Lepisosteus oculatus: one gene and its partners. The protein of the gene in region 3 purifies or fractionates together with the protein of the main gene of each other region. This does not show direct contact. Links are inferred from orthologs where the notes say so. Each region holds a gene or a part of one and is shown on either strand. Other genes may lie near its edges.

The links.
Region 1: the proteins of myh9a (region 3) and sptan1 fractionate together in Homo sapiens (co-fractionation; 3 studies listed by BioGRID and IntAct, with this or other methods). This does not show direct contact. The link is inferred for Lepisosteus oculatus from reciprocal best matches to the Homo sapiens genes MYH9 and SPTAN1.
Region 2: the proteins of myh9a (region 3) and usp11 purify together in Homo sapiens (affinity purification with mass spectrometry; 3 studies listed by BioGRID, with this or other methods). This does not show direct contact. The link is inferred for Lepisosteus oculatus from reciprocal best matches to the Homo sapiens genes MYH9 and USP11.

Annotation. Positions count from the first base shown.
Region 1 is NC_090719.1:15,114,845-15,122,191, reverse strand, and holds the start of sptan1 (spectrin alpha chain, non-erythrocytic 1), read right to left. Parts: upstream 4,780-7,347; 5' UTR 4,271-4,779; coding exon 4,235-4,270; intron 2,632-4,234; coding exon 2,392-2,631; intron 2,044-2,391; coding exon 1,918-2,043; intron 1,047-1,917; coding exon 906-1,046; intron 501-905; coding exon 354-500; intron 8-353; coding exon 1-7. UniProt on the Homo sapiens protein: Fodrin, which seems to be involved in secretion, interacts with calmodulin in a calcium-dependent manner and is thus candidate for the calcium-dependent movement of the cytoskeleton at the membrane.
Region 2 is NC_090697.1:76,577,935-76,585,281, forward strand, and holds the start of usp11 (ubiquitin carboxyl-terminal hydrolase 11), read right to left. Parts: upstream 4,343-7,347; 5' UTR 4,252-4,342; coding exon 4,136-4,251; intron 332-4,135; coding exon 222-331; intron 1-221.
Region 3 is NC_090707.1:39,741,451-39,748,797, forward strand, and holds the start of myh9a (myosin-9), read right to left. Parts: upstream 5,198-7,347; 5' UTR 5,108-5,197; intron 1-5,107. UniProt on the Homo sapiens protein: Cellular myosin that appears to play a role in cytokinesis, cell shape, and specialized functions such as secretion and capping. Required for cortical actin clearance prior to oocyte exocytosis. Promotes cell motility in conjunction with S100A4.

The DNA of each region.
Region 1 (7,347 bases), on a different chromosome or scaffold from region 3:
GCGACTCCTGCGCGGGGGAGGAGGGGGCACATGTACGGTGAACAAAGGAAAACAGCTGGCCAGCGCTCTCTGGATCCGCAACAGCCCTGGGCCTGCCCAAGGGTAATCCATTCACGGAACCAGAGCTCGGACACAAGGAGCAAGCGAGAGGACTCTGCAAGCTGAGATACAAACCATTAACCCTGCAGGTGGCTGCAGTGATTTGCAGTGAAGCACTACAATGGCTTTATAAACCAGGATAGTTACATACTGTTGCCAAAGACATACAACACAAGAGCCCAGCCCAATGCAAGCTAGTCAGTCCAATTAAAACTGAAGTCCTGCGGAACCTAGGCAGCTCGCTCCCAGGGTACCTGGATGAGCTTGCCGGCCAGCTGGTTGACATCGTTGACCCGCTCCTCATGGGCGGCCAGGTCAGTCTGGAACTCCTCGAACTTCTTCTGCAGGACCTCCACGTGCTCCAGGTCCTGACCCAGCTCCTCCGACGTCACGATGGCCTCCTGCCAGACAAACACGCGCGGCCGTCAGAGCGCTAAGAGAGCAACTGTCCCCAGAACCGACAGGACGGCTCCTGGGGAGAACTGACATGGTCTACATGGTCTGCGACAAAGTAAAGCCAGAAGTAGGCTTGTACATCTACCAGCGGTTGACAGAGGCAGGCTCCAGCTATAACACAGTGTCCAATATTTACCCTACAATCCCTCTGCAAAATCTATGGCCTCTCACCCCCATGACTGCCAGTGTCAGGTGAAAGAAGACATTTATGCCCAGGATCGGGGATACGCATGCTGAGGCACTTTCACCGTTCCTTAAAACGGAATCTTTTATTACACCTGTAACTTATATTTAAACAAATGATATCTATATACATTCACTTCTTTAAAAACCCTCCAAAGCTGCCGCACCTTGTCGCTGATCCAGTCCAGGGCGTCCTCGCACTCCCGCAGGTACTGCACCAGCTTCTGGGCCTGCAGCAGGCGCACGCCCTTCTCCCTGGTCTTCTGCAGCAGCAGGTCCCACAGACGGTGGAGCTCCTCCAGCCGGGTCTGGAACCAAGAGCGGCATGAGGCCCGGTCCGGAGAGGGCTCCGGCGCCGAGCCTCGAAAGCAGGGAGAGGCCCGGTCCAGGAAGCACTCCGGCGCCGAGCCTCGCCCATCTGGGTGTCCAGACTGACTTCATCACCCATTCCTGCGGGATCAGGTTAATGTGCCTGAGGCACAGCACTCAAAGCCTTTCTACTACTTGCCTTGGAGATCGCGATAGCCCAATTTTACTAAGCCAATATGCTGTTGAGAACTGGTTTTCCCCCCCATCATTGTCAGCCAGCCTTCTCAGCTTTATGAGTTTACATACTGAAATTTTCCCAAAATCCAAGATCTGGGAGTGAGAGATCGGTCACGAAGACCGAGCCCTCCAACGACGGCACTCTCAAACAGCGAGAACAGGAATACCTGCATGCACAGACCCTGCCCACAAAATAAGAGCTCTTCCATCTTTAGAAGAACAGCAACAACCCCCGAGGACAAACAGTTCAGCCTCCGTCTGCTTTGGTGAGCGACCCACGCCTGAGGCCACTCACTGCCACACATTTTAAAGGACAGATGCACCAAATATCCATAATTACACAGCAATCAAAACTTTCGAGATGGGAAGCAGAGGAGAGGGAGAGGCGAGGGGTGAAACTGGACAGGAAGAGCTCCACAGCACCCAGGCACCTACTTGTATATAGGCAGTGATATGGACCGATTTTACTATGGGCCGCTGGGCAGTCCGGTAGGGTGTGAAGGACTGAACCAGACAGAGGGGGACAGTGGTGTTACAAAACCCACAAAAACCGCCAATGTGACAGGAAAAGCTTTTCAAAATAAAACAAAATAAGCCGAAAGGCCCGGTGGCTCCCGGCGGCCGGCCTCGTACCCGGATGATCTCGGAGGCGAAGTGGCCCTCGGCGATCATCTGGCTCCCGGTCTCGTCCAGCTTGATGATGGCGCCGGCGTTGGCCTGGACCTCGGCCTCGAAGGCCTGGTGCTTCTGCAGCTTCCCCTGGAGACGCGAGAGGAGGAAGACGCTTTTAGCGGAGCCCGCGCAAATCCGGGTTTTTTTCCGGGCACCATGGATCCGAGAGGGCCCCAGGCATTGGAAAGGGGGGGAACACTGCCATCAGCACAAGGTCTTAATTAGCGAGCTACGCAGCTGCGACAGCGAGACCAGTTTTTCTTTTCCAGACGGCCGTGGACATACAGGAAAGGTCCGGTGTGGACTGCGGCATTTCCCTCACACAAAGGAAGCCACATGGGACGCGCTAGAGGCCTCTACCTAGAGAGCACACGCGAACCTCCCGGGCTCAAGGCCCCATTCGCAGAGAGAGCCCTGGGGGCGGGGGCTCCTGACCTGCAGGTTGGTGGGGTCCTTGTAGTTCTCGTCGGAGGCGATCTGCAGCTTCTCCTGGATCCACTTCTCCAGCTCGTCGGCGTCGCGGCGGAAGAACTGGAAGCGGTAGGAGTCCTCCAGCTTCTGCCGGCGCAGCGTGGACAGCTCCTTGAAGCGGCGGTAGCGGTCCAGCACCTGCTGCCTGCGCTCCTGGATGTCATCTGCCGTCTCCAGCACCTTCATGCCGCTGGTGTCCATCCTCTGAGCCCACGCACACACACACAGGAAGAGAGTCACACTCGGGGCCCCCAGAGCTCCCGGCGCAGTACCGGGTCTCGCCAGCAGGGGTCTCCGGCTCAGCCCACAGAGGGCCTCGCCCTCAGAGCTGCTCTCATCGCGCAGGCAACTGCGACACTCCGGCCAGGCCCTGAGCTGCTCTTTAGAAGAGGAACGACTGTGCCCTTCATGAGAGCCATATACGCCTCTAGGAATATAATCAGGGTCACTACTTGACCAAAGGTGAAACAAAACCCAGGTAAAACACCGCTGGAGACCAGGGGCCTGTGTCCAGCTGGTTTCTCCACAAGGGAGGGAGGAGGGAAAGAAGGACACCATTCAGCTGCTGCTCACACCTGCTGGGTTTTATTTTGCTCTGTTTATAACCTTTCCAGCAGTCCCTAAAGCTTACCAGACCCAAACTTCAAAGCCCTAATTATTAACTGTGTCTCGCGGCCTTTCCAGTATTTGTGCATCACCACGCCGCATTAGATCGGAAGCGATTTTGACATGCCTCACGCGGCACAACGGAGAAGTTTAAATTTAAAATGAAGAACCCTGCTTTCCACAACCATATCTGTGAATACCTGCAGAAAGCCAAACGAGCTGTCGACCCAAGCACACGGGGTACACGCTACACTGCTAACTCGCGAGAACGCCCCCCTTCTAAACGAGAGCGAGGGGAAACGGGCAACATCTCGGTTCTCCCCGATCAGAATCTTGTGAACTTTCTTTATTCACTCTCTCATGAAGCTGAAAGAAATCCCTGCGGCTGTCCTGTCCCCCTCCTGATGGCTTTCCCAGCTGGCACCAGATGAGGGGGAGCAGCTGTTGGCCGAGACGCTAACAAACAGCTGGCGGGTCGAGGACAGACGCCAAGCAGGCCGAGACCCGAGAGGGCGACTGCAGCTCCCGGCTCAGCCCCGCCCTTCGCGCTGGGACGCTTCACAGCGAACCCTGACCCAGGGCAGGAACGTGCAGCAGAGAAATGAAAGGCCCGTGGCAGCACTGTGTCAAAGTCCCTCCCTTTATCTCACTGCTGCGATCTGAGGAGCAGGACTCCGGATGAGTCAGGCTAGGACTAAGTGCCAGCTATGACTCCAGAATGAAAGATGTCTGCCGGCGCCTTGCGTTCAAACAGCAGCTGGAACCACATCAAAGCCGTGAGGAAAACGCTGGTTTCCACTAAGCAAGCAGGTGCTGCAGTCCTGTTCTCCTGGCACCAGGTCGTGCAGCTGTCTTCTCGCGGACGCCCGGATGGACGGGGAACTGGCCTCGCCGCGGGCGTCTGGCCTCCCCCTCTGCAGGGTGCTGGGACAGCCGAGCCCCTGCCTTCCTGCTGGACATGGCGAGAGGGAGGACAGACCACCCCCACTCTGAAACCCCTCACGCACTGCTGGCCTGACTGACCCGCAACCTGCTAGATCTCATCAACCACCAAAGCCCTTTGGGATTTTCACTCCTGCGACAGGTCAGAAACCCCCCAGAGACACGCGGCCCCCCCCCTCCCCACGCGAACTGCTCCAAAACGCACTGCCGGCTAACTGCAAACCCTCACAGACCACTCCTGTGCCTACAGGACCCAGACCTGTGACGATGGGGTGTTCCTGCATACGCCAGGCATGGGGCTCAGTGCCCGGTCCGCAGTGCCAGCGCCTCCTGCTTCACTAAGGAACGACAGACAAGGCAAGAGTCACGCTGGCTGGCAGCGAGGTATCGCCGTGCAGCACGGAGCTGCTGTAGCAGCCAGATAAGGCCACTCAGATCCACACCGAGCTCTCCCTCAGATAGCTGCGGATTCCAAGTCTCTTGACAAACCACACGCCGGGCAGCACTAAACTACCGGATTTCTTTTTTCCATTCCGAGCAGCTCCCTTACTCAAGTCCTGCCGGTCTGACAGACATCAGGACGTCAGTTCAAGGAGACCAACGGCCAACACAAACCCGACTCTCGCTCACAAAAATCAACGAAAAGAGAGTCGCAACGCTTTCGGAAATTGATCTGACTGGATCACGTCTCGGCCCCCAGCTGCTGCCTCTGTAAGCGAAAGGGACTCGCAAGATGGCTTGACTACACACTCCACTACAGCTCAAGCCTGCACCGCGGTCGGGAAGGCGAGGGAGGTCGTGACCCCGGTCAGACAGAGTGAGCCCCCGCGAGCCCCCCCCGCTCGCACAGGGCTCGCGGACCCCTCCCTCCGCGCTGATAACGAGCGCGCGGCCGGCTCTGGAAGCTTCTGCCCGCCGGCGCGCCCCTCCGCCGCCGGCCACGCCCAGCCCCGCGCGCTCCGCCGCCCCCGCCGGCCGCCCCTGCGTTCCACGCCGCGCGGAGCTGTGTGCGTGCGTGTGCGTGGAGAGGGGCGATGAACGATGCTAGCAGCTCCCTTTTTCAACAGGCATTTTGCGTTTATTGAAAACCCACAACAAAAATAACACCCGCTGCATTCCAAATGCTTAGCCATCATGAGGAGGTCTCGCAATTGGCCTGGGGGGGGGGGGGCCAGACCTTTTCAAAAAAGCTGCTTTTACAGCTGAAAAATAAATTCAGAGTAAAAAGGAGACTTCCAATGCCAGGGATGTAGCCATCAGCTGACATGCAAGAGATGTGCCCCTGTCCAGCCACTCCCCCCAGCAGGCTTCTACAGCTGCATGCTCCACATTCCAGGACAGGACAACGGTATTTATAGAGGCCGCCCCGTCCCTGAGGAATTCGATCACCGCTGAAGTACGCCTGGCAGATCAGCGCTCACTGTAAACTGGAGCCGAGGGCCATAACGAAGTAATAGATAGCAGATATTTGCACCACCCAAAAAATATTCAAACAACAATGAGTCATTATCTGAGATAACATCAATTCATATTGATACGTAACCAAACACATAAATCAGCCTGGGATTGGGATTTCTAACCCGCCAGCAAAGGGCCGTGCTTGTCCACAATACCCAGCAGGCTGCAGAACCAAGCAGCAGGAGGAAACGGATGAGGTCACCTCCGATCCGCGTTCCAGGGGCCGGGGCCGAAGTGCAACTGAGCAAAACAGGAAACAGGACTGCTGGGATCTGCCTGCCGAGTGGCCACACCTTAAACGTCTTGTTCCCCCCACCGACCTGCTCACTTCGTCCCCTAGGAAGCCGATGTGTTTGAGTCACTCCCCTGCCGTCAGATGGGGCGGTTTTATAAGATGGTTCATCTACAGTATTTGCAACTACTATCTGGTCATCTGCACACCTGCAGCCATTTCTAAACACTTTCAACAGCACGTGCCGAGCAAATTAGGCCATCTACCATCAGACACCCTGGACTGCGCTTAATTTAACCCCACGGACTCCCACACCTTTCATTATGGTGTATAACGAGTTTTTATTAAGAAGGCACAAGAAACTTTTAAAGTCCATGAAGAACATAAGAAAAAAGATCAGTTTTTAATAAACCACTGCACCTTTCTCAAGCTTCCCCACTACAGGGGGGACAGACGTCTTGCAACACTCCCAGCACACTGCATCTCACAATACAGAGAGAAGCAAAAGGCAAAATTTCACTGGGTGCTTTACTCAACTGCACACTTACATTTAATGATAAACTTGAGCTGAACCTGGAAACTGAAGAGAAATCCTTCCATTGACAAACCCTGACATTAAAAATATTAAAGCAACCCTTTTCCCAAAGAGCAAAACAAAGAAGAAAAAAGTTCCAAGAGGCAGTTTGTTTCCACGTGCAGAAATACACTCGCATGCAGCACACACAGAAAAACAACACCAAACTGCTGGATAAGGAACACAAGCACAGAGCAAATCCAGGAAACACGTTCTCACAACGAAGTCCAGTCCGTTTCCCCAACACAAGGCAGCCGGGGCCAGAGTCTATCCCAGCAGGCAACGGTGCAAGGCAGGACACACCCTGGCCAGGACGCCAGTCCATCGCAGGGCACACAAAGACACACCCTGGCCAGGACGCCAGTCCATCGCAGGGCACACACAATTTCTCCCCAGTACTGCAGTGCATCATCTACCACCACCTGCTCAGATTTTCTCCAGCCAGCCACAATCAGCTCATTTGCTTTAACCCTCATTTACAAAACCTCTCTAACAGCGTTGCCCTTTCCTGGAGTAACCATCAGTTTTTACTGCTGTTGAGCTGTGGATTAATTACATCTGCTGAACCTTTATTTGCCCCACGTCTTTTTTATCCAACTGGGTTCTGCACTCGGATCTCAGTTTCAGAAAATCTCCTTTATGCGCAACTATTTCTAAAAAATGTTGCAGCAGAAATTTCAGCTTGGTACACAATCGGCGCTTTCAGACAGCTTCCTAAACAAGGAAATCAAGGATCAGATGATGTATAAACAGGCAGGAATGACTACCAGACACTTGCATAATAAGTATTTGTCCTGGTGCCTCAGACTCATTTCTCAAACTCCACCGTAAATCATAAACTGTTGGAACTCTGAACAGGGTTCATGCCAATTTCTAACCTCCTTTTCAAGAGCTGAAACTGATTTTTAAACACAAATAGTTCAATGAAAGGTTCAGTAGATCTGGGCAACCCAGAGCTCATGAGGAACAGGAGGAAGAAGGCACAGGGAGAGCCCAGGCCCGAGACCGACGTGACTGAGGAGTGCCCTGGCACAGATCACAGGCGGAGTACGAGAGCCCTGGAGCAGGAGCTGCTGTAGTCCACAGGATGAATGCAAGCGCAAAGCAA
Region 2 (7,347 bases), on a different chromosome or scaffold from region 3:
GTGCAGCCCTCTTAAGAAAACCTCAACGTGAAGATTGTTCTAAGAGGGAGGAAGAACAAATTTCAAATTTGGTGCAACAGAGACTAAAATACCACTTGCCCTCTCCGTGCTTGTTCAGAGCCCTGCCATGCTGTTTTAGAGGAATGCTCTAAACGGGCTGGATGGTATTTGTGTTCTACAAGTCGCTGCATCTTGGTCTGGGCCAGCGCCCGCTCCCTTACCCTCAAAGAGCTCCGCGTTGTCGATCCGTCCCGGGAAGGCGGAGGAGTTCTGGTCCCCCATGTGCACGTACTCCTTCCACTGCTTGAACCAGTGAAGATCCAGCAGGTACCTGCGCAGCGACAGGGACAGCGTCTCAGAGCCCCGCCCTGCCTGTGGCACAGACAACAGCCAGACCCGCGCCGGGCCTGACGCAGACGCTCAAGGCAGAGGGGCACATTTGTCTTGTGGGGTGGGGTGGCAGGTTGTGTGCCGAGCACAACATGCCTGGGGTTCACTGGGGTATACTGTACCTCGGCTTCTGTCCCCACAGGAGAAGCACTTTACACAAACACGCCTGCAGAAAAAAGTCAAGTCAATCTGGAAGGGGTTACAGTTTTTATCCTCTGGACTGAGAGTGATCCACAGCTCTGAGTGCTGTGAAGGGTCGGAAGAGAGGAAGAACAGCCTCTATATACAGAGTATGTGAAGCTACTGGAGCTGCTTGTTCCCCTGGGTCAATATTCAACGGAGATCTCTGCAGACCGCTTCACAGAAACCTTCTGCTGTGTGGGGCGTGTCCAGTGGCCAGGCTGAGTTAGGCTCAGCTGCCAGCAGACAGTTACTCTCTCCATAGCCCTGCGCTATCAGCCAGCCAGCAACCAGCTGGAGCTACTGCACTGAAGATAAGCCTGTGAGCTCTCAGTGTAAAAAGAGCCCATTTCCTCTGCCAGTCTACACCAAAATTAACAGTGCTGAAACTGCAGAAGACATACAGAGCTTTAAACAACTGAAAGTCAATTCTGCCAATTCTGCGCAGCAAACTGCCTCCGGGACCTGAAAAATGTTTGCAAAAGCGTCTGCGAGCACTCGGTGCTTTCATCCAAGAGGACCCTCGATGGCTGCACCAGCGGGATTAAGGGGGAACTTCAGGCAGACCAGACTGTACAATCCCAGAGAGGAAACCAGCCAGGAAACCCAGGATCTCTAACGAGCACGCAGTCGGGACCTCAGGTGAGAAGTCTCAACTGAAGGACAGCGCCTCCTACAGCACAGTATCCCTGGGCCTCAATTTAGGAATTAAAGCCTGGAGGGCAGAGCGCCTCCTACAGGTCCTGTTCAAGTTTAAAGAAACACGTCAAAGGATTCTAAGAATAGTCCAGAAAAACACTGTAACAGAAATAAGGCAAGCTGGAGGTAATACAGGTGTGACTTCTAAAACGCTACTGACAGAGGAAGCTGAAGTATAGCATTCTATCTGCTGATTTGTTTTTCTCAGATAGCAGGATGTTGTTGGCCAGATGATATATACCCAGGAAAGGCAACACAATCGATGATACATTACTTAAACTGTATATTATTTTTATCCACTAAACTAGTGCATCTGCTTTAGACCTGTGGTCAGTTGTGTCCTTCTTTCGCCTGCTGGGATCTCCATGTGGGCCAAACGTCACACGAAAGGCGACCTCCCCCCACTGCAGGGCTGTGGGTGTCCTGGGCCAGGGGTGCTCTTCACTGACCCAGAGGTTTCGCCACACTAGAGCGAGGGGGGGAATCTTCACCTGCAGATGCTAATGGACTGGCGTCACGGGAGAGGGCCGGACGCTGACCGCGATCCAGGCCTCGCGAGCCCAGCCAGGGCACGAGGAGTCCTGCCAGAGAGGCAGTGGGAGAGGTGCCGACCCCCGGCTTGTCTTGTCTTGCTTCGAGCCAGAACAGGCTCCCTCTCTGCCCGTCCAGCTGTAGACTCAAACTGCGCCCAGCTACAGCACGCGGACTGGTGCCGCAGGGCTGCTGGGGTTTCCCTCACTCTGCGCAGCGACGATTCTGCACTGGGTGGCCAGGAAGCTTCATTCCCCGGCTTGGCGAGTTTTGAGGGTCACTGGGTGTCCTCTGAGAAACGTATGGGGCTCCCCAGTGACTCCTCCCGTACAGGTGCGAGCCCCAGCTTAGGCTGAGCTCCCTGATCCCGGGTTCGAGCCTGGGTCACATCACTAATGCACTGTAACAGGGATTCCCCAAACGGTGCTGTCCATCAGGGACTAGTCAAGCAGAGCTCTCTCAGCTCCTAGTAACATAGCGGGGCCTGTCCTGACGCTTGTCCTCCTGTAGGGGGCGAAGAAGCCCAAGACATGTGGTAGGAGCCTGTCTGCTCTGCCCAATCTGCTGCTGTCAGCCGAGACTTGAAATCTTCCAAATGGCAATTCCGAATTGCGTGGATACATAACAAAAACACAAACAGAAAAACCTCATCATTGCTGTGGCCTGAGGACATAAGTGGGAGAGCGTGCTCAGGAGCAGACGGCGCTACGGCGGACCTGCGCATCGGCTGCTGGAGAGCCAGTCAGGGATGGCCTGGACCAGGGTCAGGCTGGTGAGCTCCTGTCGGCGTGCAAACAAGACAAGAGCACAACCGCCTGGGCTCCCTGTGCAAATGAACACATTCCTTTTTTTTTTCCAGACCAGAAAGACTCAAACTTCCCAAAGCAGACAACCCTGAGCAAAACTGATCCTCGTCCCAGGATAAATGAAACATTAATAAACAAGTTGGTGCACCTCTGGCAGGAATTGCAGAGCAGGACTGAAGCCCACAGTTGGGGGGGGGGGAGGTCAGGGTTGCGGGTTCGAATCCGTGGTGAGGCACAGCTGTTGTACCATGAGTGAGATATGCCATTCAGATCGCTCCACTAAAACACCCAGTGCTAGGAACAGGTCCCCCGGCAGATACTCTGAGAAATTTTTCTCAAAAGGCTTTGTCAAATAAAACCATAACAAACTCACATCACTCCCTTCCCAGAGTGGAGGTGATGCTCCACTTCCATCATCTAAAAGCTCTCCCATTTAGACATACTTGTCATTACAGGCCATCCTGATATACCTGGATATGCACAACAAATGTTTTATCAACCAATTCTTGGGGCAAATGAGGAAAAACTATCTTTTGAATTGTCATCTTTTGAATAATGAAAGCAGATACTTTGAACTAGTGCACGCCACGCATGGCCCTGCTCCTAACCGGGTCAAACGATTGCAGCTGCACTCTTTCAGGTCCACGTCCGGAAAGGTCGTGGAAAAACAGGTCCAGAGCCCACGGGCAGGCGGGTCTCTGCAGAGTGGCGAGACGGCACCAGGCCGGGCACCTGCGAAACCGATCCCCGACAGTCGCTAGGAAACACGCATCATGCCGGCCGATCCGGGCAACCGGTCCAAAAACCAGAAGGCACTTTATCCTAAAATTGTTCATCAAGCCCCAGCCCGACAGGACGAGCTAAACCCGCGTTGGAAAATCCAGTAATGCAGAGCGGACCACGGCTCGTACAGGTCTGACATCTCGACAGAGGGGGATGTCAACAGGCGCTCGCTCGACACGCCTGGTGCTGCCTCTGTGATTGAACAGCGCTTGAAGACGGGGGTTGAGTCACGGCCAGGAAGAGCCCGGCCCGAAGGCTTGCTGAGAGTGAACGGATCCGACTCTCCGCGTCGTTTCCCTCTCTCGGAGTTGACGTCAGAGGGAGAGAAAACGAAACCAGCTCAGACCTGCAGCTTCACCGCTCACCCACAAGCAAGACAAACTTATCGGGGACGCCCTGAACTTTTCCATTTTCCCACCCGAGACATCTCCATGTCCCGGCTCCCCTGGAGGGGGCTGTGCGGGACTTTAAGCTGAACGATTGAAATGACACCCCCGCTGCCGAAAGCCAATATGAACGCAGTTACACTAGCAAGCCCCTCCAATGAAAAAGTAGCGAAAGCAGCTCGGCGATTGCTGTGAATTCATCACGTACAAACCCCTGCACCTACACGGACCGAGTCAACGCAGGGGATCGCTGTGGCGGACCGATCTTCAGTCAGGTGAAGTGGGGGGACAGGGGAAAATGAGTTAATTTACACCCTGTCAGATCACAGCCTCGGGTTTCCTCTCCGGCGATCGCCTTACCAGCTGTCCCCGGCGCGCAGCCTGTGACCCTGGATAATATCTTCTATCTCTCCGCGCTGGGTCTCCAATCCCGGCGGCTCTGCCGACGAAGACGCGGTAACAGCAGCAGCAGCCATGATAGATCATCAATGTCTGTGTCTGTGAGGGTTCGCGAACTGCCCGAAAAACCACGGAACAGCAGATCGATGGGTCCGACTACCGCCGGAAGCAGGAAGCCATCCGGGCTGAGAAACCACTTCCGGGGGTGTCACTGTGAAATCAGTCCCCCGCTGCCGCCGCACACGCTTCGGCCGAGAGCACGTTTCACCTGCCTTTTCACTAACATTCCGATTAGTTATTAATAATCCGAAGTCGCATTTTAAGAGGGTGTAGGTTTTAATTGAAGAACACAATAATAAACACTGGTATTTGTATGATTTATTTACACCACTAAAAGTACTTTTTACAGTTACAGAGTGAACACTTGAAATAACTTTCCAATAGGATGAACAAACTACATTTCACTGAGTGTGTTATCCTCCGAGTTACAGCAGTGGGTGATGTCTTCGATAAGCACATCTTTATCGTTCTCATAATCACATGTTCCACTTTCGCTCAGCAGGTGGCGCCCTACAAACACACAACGCTGTACTGTTGTAGAGGTTTTGTGTTTGAACTACAACAGAGGAAGGACCTTCAAATATAATAAATAACACCTCCATTCTATTATTATTATTATTATTATTATTATTATTATTATTATTATTAACCAAATTCTTATACATAATACAGATGTAGGTGTAGTCAGTAAATAGTGAAATTCATTTATGAAAGAAAAATAAGTAGACTAGAAAACACTGTAGAGGCAGCAAAGGAGTGTTACAGTATGTGTTGGTACCAAAGTCATGAATAAAAATAAAGGCAAGACAGCCTGAGCTTGAAGAAGACACCTGTGAAAACAATTCAGGTATTTCTGCTCCCGCATCTTCTTCCTCCTGCAGTCAGTGTGGGAAAGCCTTAAGAAAGGCAAATAAAAAAATTAAAAAAACAATTTGAATCCAGGGGTGTTGTGTTAAATTTGTGCAATGCACTAGTAAGACGGTATCTGTGTACAATTCTGTTCACTGTCACACAAACATCCTGGCTGTGGAATCAGTCCTAACTCGGTCCCAGCCCAAATGACTGGTGTGTTCCTGGGCTCTGAAGGAACATCCTGCACCGAACAATGAAACACCCCCCCAAAGACACAAGAGGAAACTACAGGGAAGTGCATTCAGGGCTGAGAACAGGAGGCACTTATTTACATCAAGAGTGGAGGGAGCCTGGAGCAAGAATCCAGCAAGACAGATATCCAGGTGTATTTCAAGAAGCTGGATGTCATAAGACTTATTAGCTACTAGCAACCAAAAACAAGCTAGGCTTGCTGACTTGCATCCTGTTTTTTGCAATCTTGCCACTATTCCCCTATAATTCTGATTATACCACAACAGATGAAAACAGCGACCACTGTAGTGTACAGGGAAGAAAGCCAAGATCATCAACATTGTGGAATTTAGCCCAGACACTGGGGTTAACACCCTTACTCCATGGAACAGTTCTATAGGACCTTCAGTGTTCAGACTTTCAGGAACTCCTACAGCTCAGTTTCCCAGTCACCCTACTGGAGTATTAGTCCAACTACTGGGCCACCAGCACCACTCACAGCAGCAAGCTGGTTTTCCCTGGAGGTCTCTCCCTCCCCTTTCCAGTGCTGACCAGACCCAGCCCTGCTGAGCTTCTGAGACCTGATTAAATCAAGCTACAAGGTGGTAACAGTGCAGCTTGGATTTAACTTTTCTTCTGCTCAGGTTTTTGCTTATTTAGTTTGATCATTTCATTCGACATTTTAACCCCCCGTGACGAACTGTTCCAGATTGCCATTGATCGAGATTGGTCACATCTACAGTCATGTTTCCTTTTTCGTTGTGTGTTCTTTTATTCCCCCCTGAACCCCACTGCCCTAAACCCCAAAACATCCCCTCAGCCTGGTGTACAGTTGTCAGGGGATGTGTGGATCTGAGACAGTGCCTTCGGTCTGCCAGTGGGGGGCAGTACAGGGACAGCCAAGGCTAGGACATAAATGGATGTGACAGGCTGTCAGCGTTGTAAACAGGCTTCAGCCTGGCACTGCATCTAATCGTTTTAGATTGAAGACTGGTGTCCCATTATTTGCCCCTCTCTCGGCCCTCCTGAAGGCTGACACTGGCTTTTCCTTTCACCTGACAGTCGACTCGGAGTCATTTCACACCCAATTTGCCTCGGTGGCCATGACAGAGCCGTGCTGCGTGGGGGACATGATGGCTTTCTCACCTGCCCGCCTACTTTCTAGGCTAAACCGTATATTCAAAGCTTTCAAACCTGCATTTCGTGGTCTTAAACCGTATTGATATGAGATTATGCTGATGGGGACATATTTAGCTACACAATGAAAAATGCATCAGAATCTACAGAATGCAATTCGTCACCACGTTGCATAAAAATACTTGTGCTGTGCAAACAGAATTTGCTATTAAACATGAGATCCAAAGTTTTTTAAGGTCGTTTAAGATATAATTATGAGCACCACTCGCGCTCTGGGGTGTAGCGCGCAGAACGCGTCCTAGAGTTTGTTCCACGCAGGGGAAGAAGGCAGAGACGCGTTTGAATAAACTCTCCATCTTAATGCAGCCTGATTCATGAGGCTGTTACGCCGTGTTGCACCGCAACCGGATCTTAATCGAGTTCGGCGGGCCCCTCCAGAGTACAGCCTTTCATCCCGGACCGCGGCTCGGCAGTTCTAAAGGATCCGAGGGAAAGTTCGGTTCCAAAAGCAGGCTCGTCTCGGGGAATGGCCAGCAGCAGAGACCGGTGTGGTGGAAATCAGTGCGTTTGCAGTAGTGAACAGATTTCAGTAGAAAAGAATCCCATGTTTATTACATTATCTGTAAAGAGCGGAGTGTCCCGAAAAGCGCTATAAAAGTGTGAGCAATTATTATTATTATTATTATTATTATTATTATTATTATTATTATTATCAGTCTTACGAATGATGGCCTACAGCCGGCTGGTGGTTCCTCTCCTGGGCTCCAGTGCACAATTAAGTGCACTGGTGGCTCTGTGGGCAAGGATCTGCGCCTGTGGCTGGAAGGTTGTCAGTTCAAATCCTGCGGCCAGCAGAGGAATCCTATTCCGTTGGGCCCCTGAGCAAGGCCCTT
Region 3 (7,347 bases):
TGTAGGAGGTCAAGTCTGCAACGTCTTTGAATAAACAAACTCAGAGAACATGTGTGCACTGAAAATCAGAAACAATATTACTGAATGTTTCACTCCGGGTGGTGGGGTGAGTCAGGGCTGAAGTCTGAGCCCTACACTGTTCAATATCTCCACCAGTGAGCTAGCAGGAATGCTGGAACAGTCTGCAGCTCCTGGACTCACACTACATGACACAGATCAAGTTCCTGCTCTACCGATGACCTGGTCCTGCTGTTGCCCACAGAACAGAGCCTGGCACTGCTGGAGCAGTACTGTCAGACCCGGGCACTGCCAGCCCATCTGGACAAGACCAGTCCCATGGACAAGAAAGTGAGGTCTCAGGGAAACAACACACAACTCCAACTGACAATCGATTCATCTGGGAGTTTCGACCTGGCAGTGAAGGCACCCAGGGCTTTCTACGCCAATAGAGGGAGGCTCTACAATATCAACCCCCCCATAAAAATCTGGCTGCAAATATTTGAAAGTGTAATCCAACCCATTGCCCTATACAGCAGTGAAGAGTCTGGTCCACTCAGAGACCAGGATTACACTGTGACAACTCATACAAGCCTTGTGCACAGAGTTCTGAAAACAACATCCTCCATGTACAGTGTGTGATCTCCTGTCCCAGCCTGAGGAACAGACAGTGAGCCTGTCTCTCAATAATAATAATACAGTGTGTGATCTCCTGTCCCAGCCTTAGGAACAGACAGTGAGCCTGTCTCTCAATAAAAATAATACAGTGTGTGATCTCCTGTCCCAGCCTGAGGAACAGTGAGTCTGTCTCTCAATAATAATAATATAGTGTGTAATGTTCTATATGTTGTATGTAAGTGTCCCGAGATGTGTTTGTATTGTCAACATCTGTAGATGTTGTGTTAATTGTATCTGCTTTGGCAACACTGAAATTCATCAGTCATGCCAATAAACCTGCTTGAATTTAAAAAATCTGAAAGAAACAGGCTCAGGATGAACTTAAAGAATTTTATAGGCTCAGGAAAGAGAGACCAATAAACCCAGAGGCAAGAAGAGAGAGATCTAATCTGTACAAAGACCACACCAGGTCACACTGTTGCTAAATACAAAGATTCAGCCTTTTTCCCTCCCCCCGCCGTCTGTCAGGAGTGCTGAACAACAGGAAAGGGTGTGTGCGTGTCTTTGCGCATGTCTGTGCATGTGCGTGTGGAGGGATAAATTGCTGCTCTGCCTATTAACTACTCTGATTCCTGCAGATAAGGACAGGGCAGTTGCTCTACCAGAATAAGGATAGAGACAGAAACAAATCCTGGGCTGAATAGGCAGATACCCACTGCTGACCAACATACAGAAGACTGCAAGAAAATACTGGTCACCCCTGAGAACCAGTGAGCAGAGCTCCCAGCATCACAAGACCCTGCTGAGCCAGAGCTGAGCCCAGAGAAGAGCCCTCAGCCAGCTGGTCCTGAAGCTCACTGACAGCAACCAGCTACAGCAACACCCACCACACAGCACAACACACACAGCACTGCCTCCCCCACTGGGACACACACACACAAACACACACACACTGACCAGCACTGCCTCTCCCACTGGGACACACGCACACAAACACACACACACTGACCAGCACTGCCTCTCCCACTGGGACACACGCACACAAACAACACACACTGACCAGCACTGCCTCCCCCACTGGGAGAGAGACACAAACTGGAGGACTGCAGGACCACACCCTGTGCCCAGTATGCAATCTCCTGCCACAGCCTAAGGAGCAGAGAGCCAGTCTCGGATGTTTTTTTCAGATATGGATGGAAATAACTAACAGGATTTATGTTGTTGATTAGCAGTACTTACTCACTGGTCACTGCAACAGAGCTCACCGAGTCTGGAGATGAGAGCTCTTCTCCCTTTCCAGTTTCCCATGACCCCTGTGACCCCACAGCTGAAGAAGTCAGTGCTTCCCACGCCCACCCTGAACACAGCACTCCCCAAAGTACACACACCCCTACCCTAAACTCAGTGCTCCCCAAAGTACACACCTCTACCCTGAACACAGTGCTCATCACACCTCCACCCTGAGAACAGTACCCACACCGCAGGGCAGCAGAGAGGCCCTGATCCAATCCAGGCCCTTCTGCACCGACCCGGGCTGCCTTCTGTTTCCCCTGTCCTCTGGGACACATTCCTACCATTCCACTCGCTAATGGATAAGGAGAGAATTCCAGAAATGCAGCTGCTGTCAGCACAGGCAGAGACCAGCATCAGGCCAGACCGTGAGCCCTGCAGCTGAAAGTCACAGCAGACCTGGCTCATTCTCTCTGCTGTGTGACACACTCCCTTGCTCACAGGCGGATACACCCTCAGAGCTCTCTTCTTCACACAGGCACAGGCTGCTGCTGATCGAGCACCGGTTCTGGGATCACAGGGCACAGCCCAGGCTGACAACACACCCCACTGGGCCCACTGCTGAGCAAGCAGCTGCTCAACACCATTAAAACACCGGCCCTCACACTATGTGGCTGGAGCCTCATTTGCATTCATTCAGAGGACACTGAGACAGCAGCAGCAGCACTGGAGGAAGGATACAGCCTGTGAGCGCCCCCCATTGGACACTCCAGGAAGAGCTTCTGCTGACCAGTCAGCCAGTGAACTAAGAGGTACATAATTGCTGCCACTGGGCTGTCCTGCAGCAGAACCGCTGACACTGCCAGTACCCTGCTCAGCAGACAAATCATCAGGACTGCTGGCCACCAGCGTCTCCGCCCCTCGATAGCCCACAGCCACACAGGGAGATAAGGGATACAGATAAGGATACAGGGAAAACTTCCCAACAGGAAGTGAGCAGTCAGCGGGTCCCCAGGCAACGAGAAGAGCAGCTCATTCCTGACGGAGTGCACAGAGCAGGAATGTCTGCCGAGCTCGAGGACAAGTCAGCACAGGGAGCCAGCAGCTCCTGCAATCTCGTTATCGGCCACACCCACACAGTCCAGGGCAGAACTGCACCTGCGCTCTTGTCCTCTGTCCCGTTCCGGACACTGACCGGGTCTCCAGGACAGAGAGACGGCGGCAGGCAGGCCAGTGTACGAGGAGAGACACGAGAGCTCTGTGCTAAGGGCACCCCCCCTGCCTCAGACTGCCCAGCGCCAGGGTCAGAGCCACCACGAATACCTCCCCTCCAGCACACACAGGCCACAACCAAGACTGCGACACAGCTGCCCAATTCCACACACAGCAGAGCACGCACACACACCCGGGGCTTGGCCCCGAGCGTCGCACAGCAGGACCGCTACTGGGGTACGGAAGAGCCACACTCCTCCGCCCGCTGCCGGCTCTTCTCCTCCCTTGGATCGGTAGACCCAGGTCACCTGGCTGTCTGGTGGCACCGCCAGCGCTGCTCAGCCACAGTTTCACAGGACGTGACTGCAGTGTCCCTGCAGCCAGATCCAGATCCACCCCGGGTTTTACCACCCGCCGCAGGCCCTCGAACAGGCACCTGAAGGAACCGCGGTTCAGGAACAGAAACGGCTGCTTTTCTGCTCCACCAGAACGGACTCAGGAGCTCTCAGCTGCTGAGAAAAGCCGAGATGGACTCCAGGTGTCTGGGAGCCCATCTGCCCAGCACAGATGAGACCGTGCTCACCTACTGTAACCCCCTCCTTGACCCGCAGGGGGCGCCACCAGGGGCACTGTGCACATGCGCCTCAGTCACAGAGACACTGGTGAGAAAACCTGCAACCCCTCTCCTGCCACTGCTCCGCAGAACAGATTCACCCCCACAGTGACCCTCACCCGAGCCTGACAACACCCTCGCTATAAACACCCCTCCTCACCCCAAACCCCTCACTGTCCCTCTCACCCTCACTGCCCCCCTCAATGTCTCCCCAAACCCCCTCAACCCAAACCCCTCTCTCCCCCCTGGGCCGTCTGCAAGCCTGGTGAGACAGAACACTTTTGGCTGCTTGGTGCAGCATCGCACCTCAACTTCCTGTTGTCGGACGCGTGTCCACATCCGCCCAGGTGCCTGAGAGCTCCAGCACAGAGACAGGAAGTGACATCACACTCAGAGCACAGGGAGGAAGTGACATCGTTGCCAGAGGCCAGGTACACTAACAGACTCCCACAGCCCGAGACCACGCAGAGACGTCAGGCAGGGCAGTTCTGGGGAGGCCCAGTCCAAACACTACAGTGCCAAGAACCGCAGGATGTCTCCAGCACCCAGCACAGGGTGAAACCAGGACCCATAAATATTCTGTGACAAAACGGTTGTATCTGAACCCCTGACCCCGACCTCAGACTCCAGACACCGCCGGTCCCGGTCGACCCGTCCCCCTAATTGTTCCACGCGATTCCCCCCCACGCCCGTGGAAAGATTAGGCTCAGGCGAGACCGGCCGGAAATGAGCCTCCCGGGCTCGCGATAAGAAATTTCCTTCGGAGGCAGGACCCCGGACCCGAATCAGACCGGGCTGGGAACCGCCACGGCGTGCCGTGGACCGGCCGCGAGCTCGCCCACCAGCCCTCCCAGTCGCGGCTCGCGCCGTGGCCAGCGCCACTTCCTCGGTGGATGAGATCATCCCGGAGAGGTGAGGGTGCGGCTGCTGCTCCCAGGTCTCCACACCCCACGGCACGAGTGTCACCCGCTCAGCCCGGGCGCCAGGAAAACCCGGACTGGAGCCGCACTGCGGCGGCGTGTCGCTGTTTCACCTGAGCTGGCGGTGAGGGTGCAGGTCCTAAAACACGCGCGTTTCTGCAGGGCGTGAGCAGAAAGAGACCAGACAAGCCCGCTCCCGGCCCGAGTGACCCGGTCCTGACCCTGACAGCTCGGGGGCCCGTGTCTCTCCGTCCCTCCCGCCCCGGAGACCGTCGGAGCAGCCGGCAGCCCGGGAAACAGACCCACCGCGACCCCGGAAACACCCCCAAGCCCAGCAGCCGCAGGACTCCACTAACCCGGCGTGCGCGACCCGTACGAGTTGGACCCCGGCTCCCTCCCGGCGCACTTCCTGTAGGAGCCCGAGCACGGCAGCGCCCCACGCCCGCTCAGCCGCCGGTGACGAAGCGCAAGAGCACGAAGTTCCTGGTCCGGCTGAGGCTGACAGAGGGCACTTTACCTGGGCCAACGACGAACAGAGAATCGTCTGAAACCCTTCTGAACTCGGTCGGCTCCCCGTCCCGCTGTCCCAGCTCGGCGGCGAGAAAGCAGTTGTCGTGCAGCTCGGTGGAAACGCGCAGTAGCAGCGAGCGCTTGTCTCCTCTCGGCCTGAGCGGCTGCTTCCGCGCAGACTGGCTGGGACCGGGCAGGGCGCGGCTGCGGGGCGGGGCCAGGCTCCCAGCCACGCCCCCCGCCCAATCGGAGCAGGCCAATCTGGGCCGGACCGGCCAGTGGCGGAGCGGCATGGGGGCGTGGCTTGAGGGTGCTGCTCCCGGGGCTCGGAGGCAGCGCTAAGTGTTTAATTAGAGAGGTATGTGCGGGATAAGTTTATTACCATATAAGTATGACTGCCAGCGGCATCAAACATCTCCCTGCAGACACCTTTCCTGCCTGCTTCCACAGTAATTAGTCACCCTCGAGTCCCGTGAGCGCTAAAATGTTAGAGAAGCTGGCCGCCTCCGTATCTGCGTTGATCGCATTTCTAATCATGTCCCATTTAACAACACTCCGACAGAGGAAGGTCCTCCTCGTGGTCACGACCGGACACACCTGACAGTACATCTGTTGGCAGCAACATTGTCAGTAGCCTTCTGAAGATCTGAATGCCCAGTGGCGCTCGCTCTGTTTCCTGCTGATCAAGGTACACGGTAGTTAAAGAGATCTGTCTTTTTAAAATCCACATTGACTAGGATGTTCTTTTTAATACTGATGATCCCCTGGTTGTCTTCTGATTATTGTTTCCATTACTTTATATGCCACAGAAGGCAGACATACTGGTCTGTAATTATTTGGCTGGGTTGTCTGTTGCAGTGGGTATCCCCCCCTCTGCAGAGCTCCAGAGACTGCTGGGAGAGTTGAGCTGTGAATCTTCTCCTGCGCCGGGATAGATGGCTGTTTCAGCAGGTGCCTCCCCTGCGCTGGTACCTGTGTCCTTCTGCTGTCTGAGGCCGGTGAGTCAGGCCTGGTGCCCCGCGAGAGCCAGCCCTTTGCTCTGGCTCTGACCTCAGCAGGCTCTGGAACAGGCTGAGGCCAGCCCAGGGGCCAGTGCCACAGTACATGCCAGTATGGGCGATTGGGGACACACAGACTGGCACCCCTCTTACCCAAGCTGACTCTGGACACTTGGAGCAAACCTGCACATGGAGAAGAACATGCAAACTCCACACAGATAGCTGGCCAGCTCAAAATGTATCCAAATTCATGGTGTTCAGCGTTGATTGGTGTTTCTAAATTAACAGCTGCTCAACACAAACTGAGCATGTCTGTGAGAGTGAGAGAGTGAGCATGTGTCTGAGACAGTGTGTGACTGAGACAGAGAGTGTATCTGAGAGAGTGAGAGAGTGTATTGGCTACACCTAAAAAACAGCGACCAAAATTCCTACCACCACAAAGCCCTGCTGAGCCAAGAGCTGAGCCCAAAACAGAGCCCCCTGAGCCAGCTGGTCCTGAGCCACACCGACACCAGCCAGTCTCAGGACGGCACTGCTAGAGCACCACAACTCAGACCCAAGCACATCACAGCACAGATCAAACAGCAACATCTCACACACTGGGACACACACACACAAACAACAAACTGGAATGCTACAGAACCCTAAACAGACAATACACACTAGCTGAATATTTGACCAAGATAAGAAACAACAAAAAGAAACAGACCCTGATGAAGTACAGGCTCAGTGACCACAACCTGGCCATAGAAACTGGGCGACACAGGCAGACCTGTCTGCCCAGAGAGGACAGGCTGTGCTCCCACTGCCAGCGGGGAGAAATAGAGACAGAGGTGCACTTCCTACTGCACTGTGACAGATACTCTGGAATTAGAGAAACATTCTTCCCTAAACTCAGAAATCTAGTCCCAGAGTTTCCACACCTGCCAGAATCACAATGGGTCCCAATCCTACTGGAAGAGGGAGGAGGGAACTCAATTGAACTGGCAGCCCAGTATGTGATATCCTGTCACAGCCTGAGGAACAGTGAGCCTGTCTCCCAATAATGCTCCATTTGTTAACAGTATATGTAAATATTTGATGATATGTCTTTGTTGTAAATCTGGAATATGTCTGAGGAACAGACAGTGAGCCTGTCTCTCAATAATAATACAGTGTGTGATCTCCTGTCCCAGCCTGAGGAATAGACAGTGAGCCTGTCTCTCAATAATAATAATACAGTGTGTGATCTCCTGTCCCAGCCTGAGGA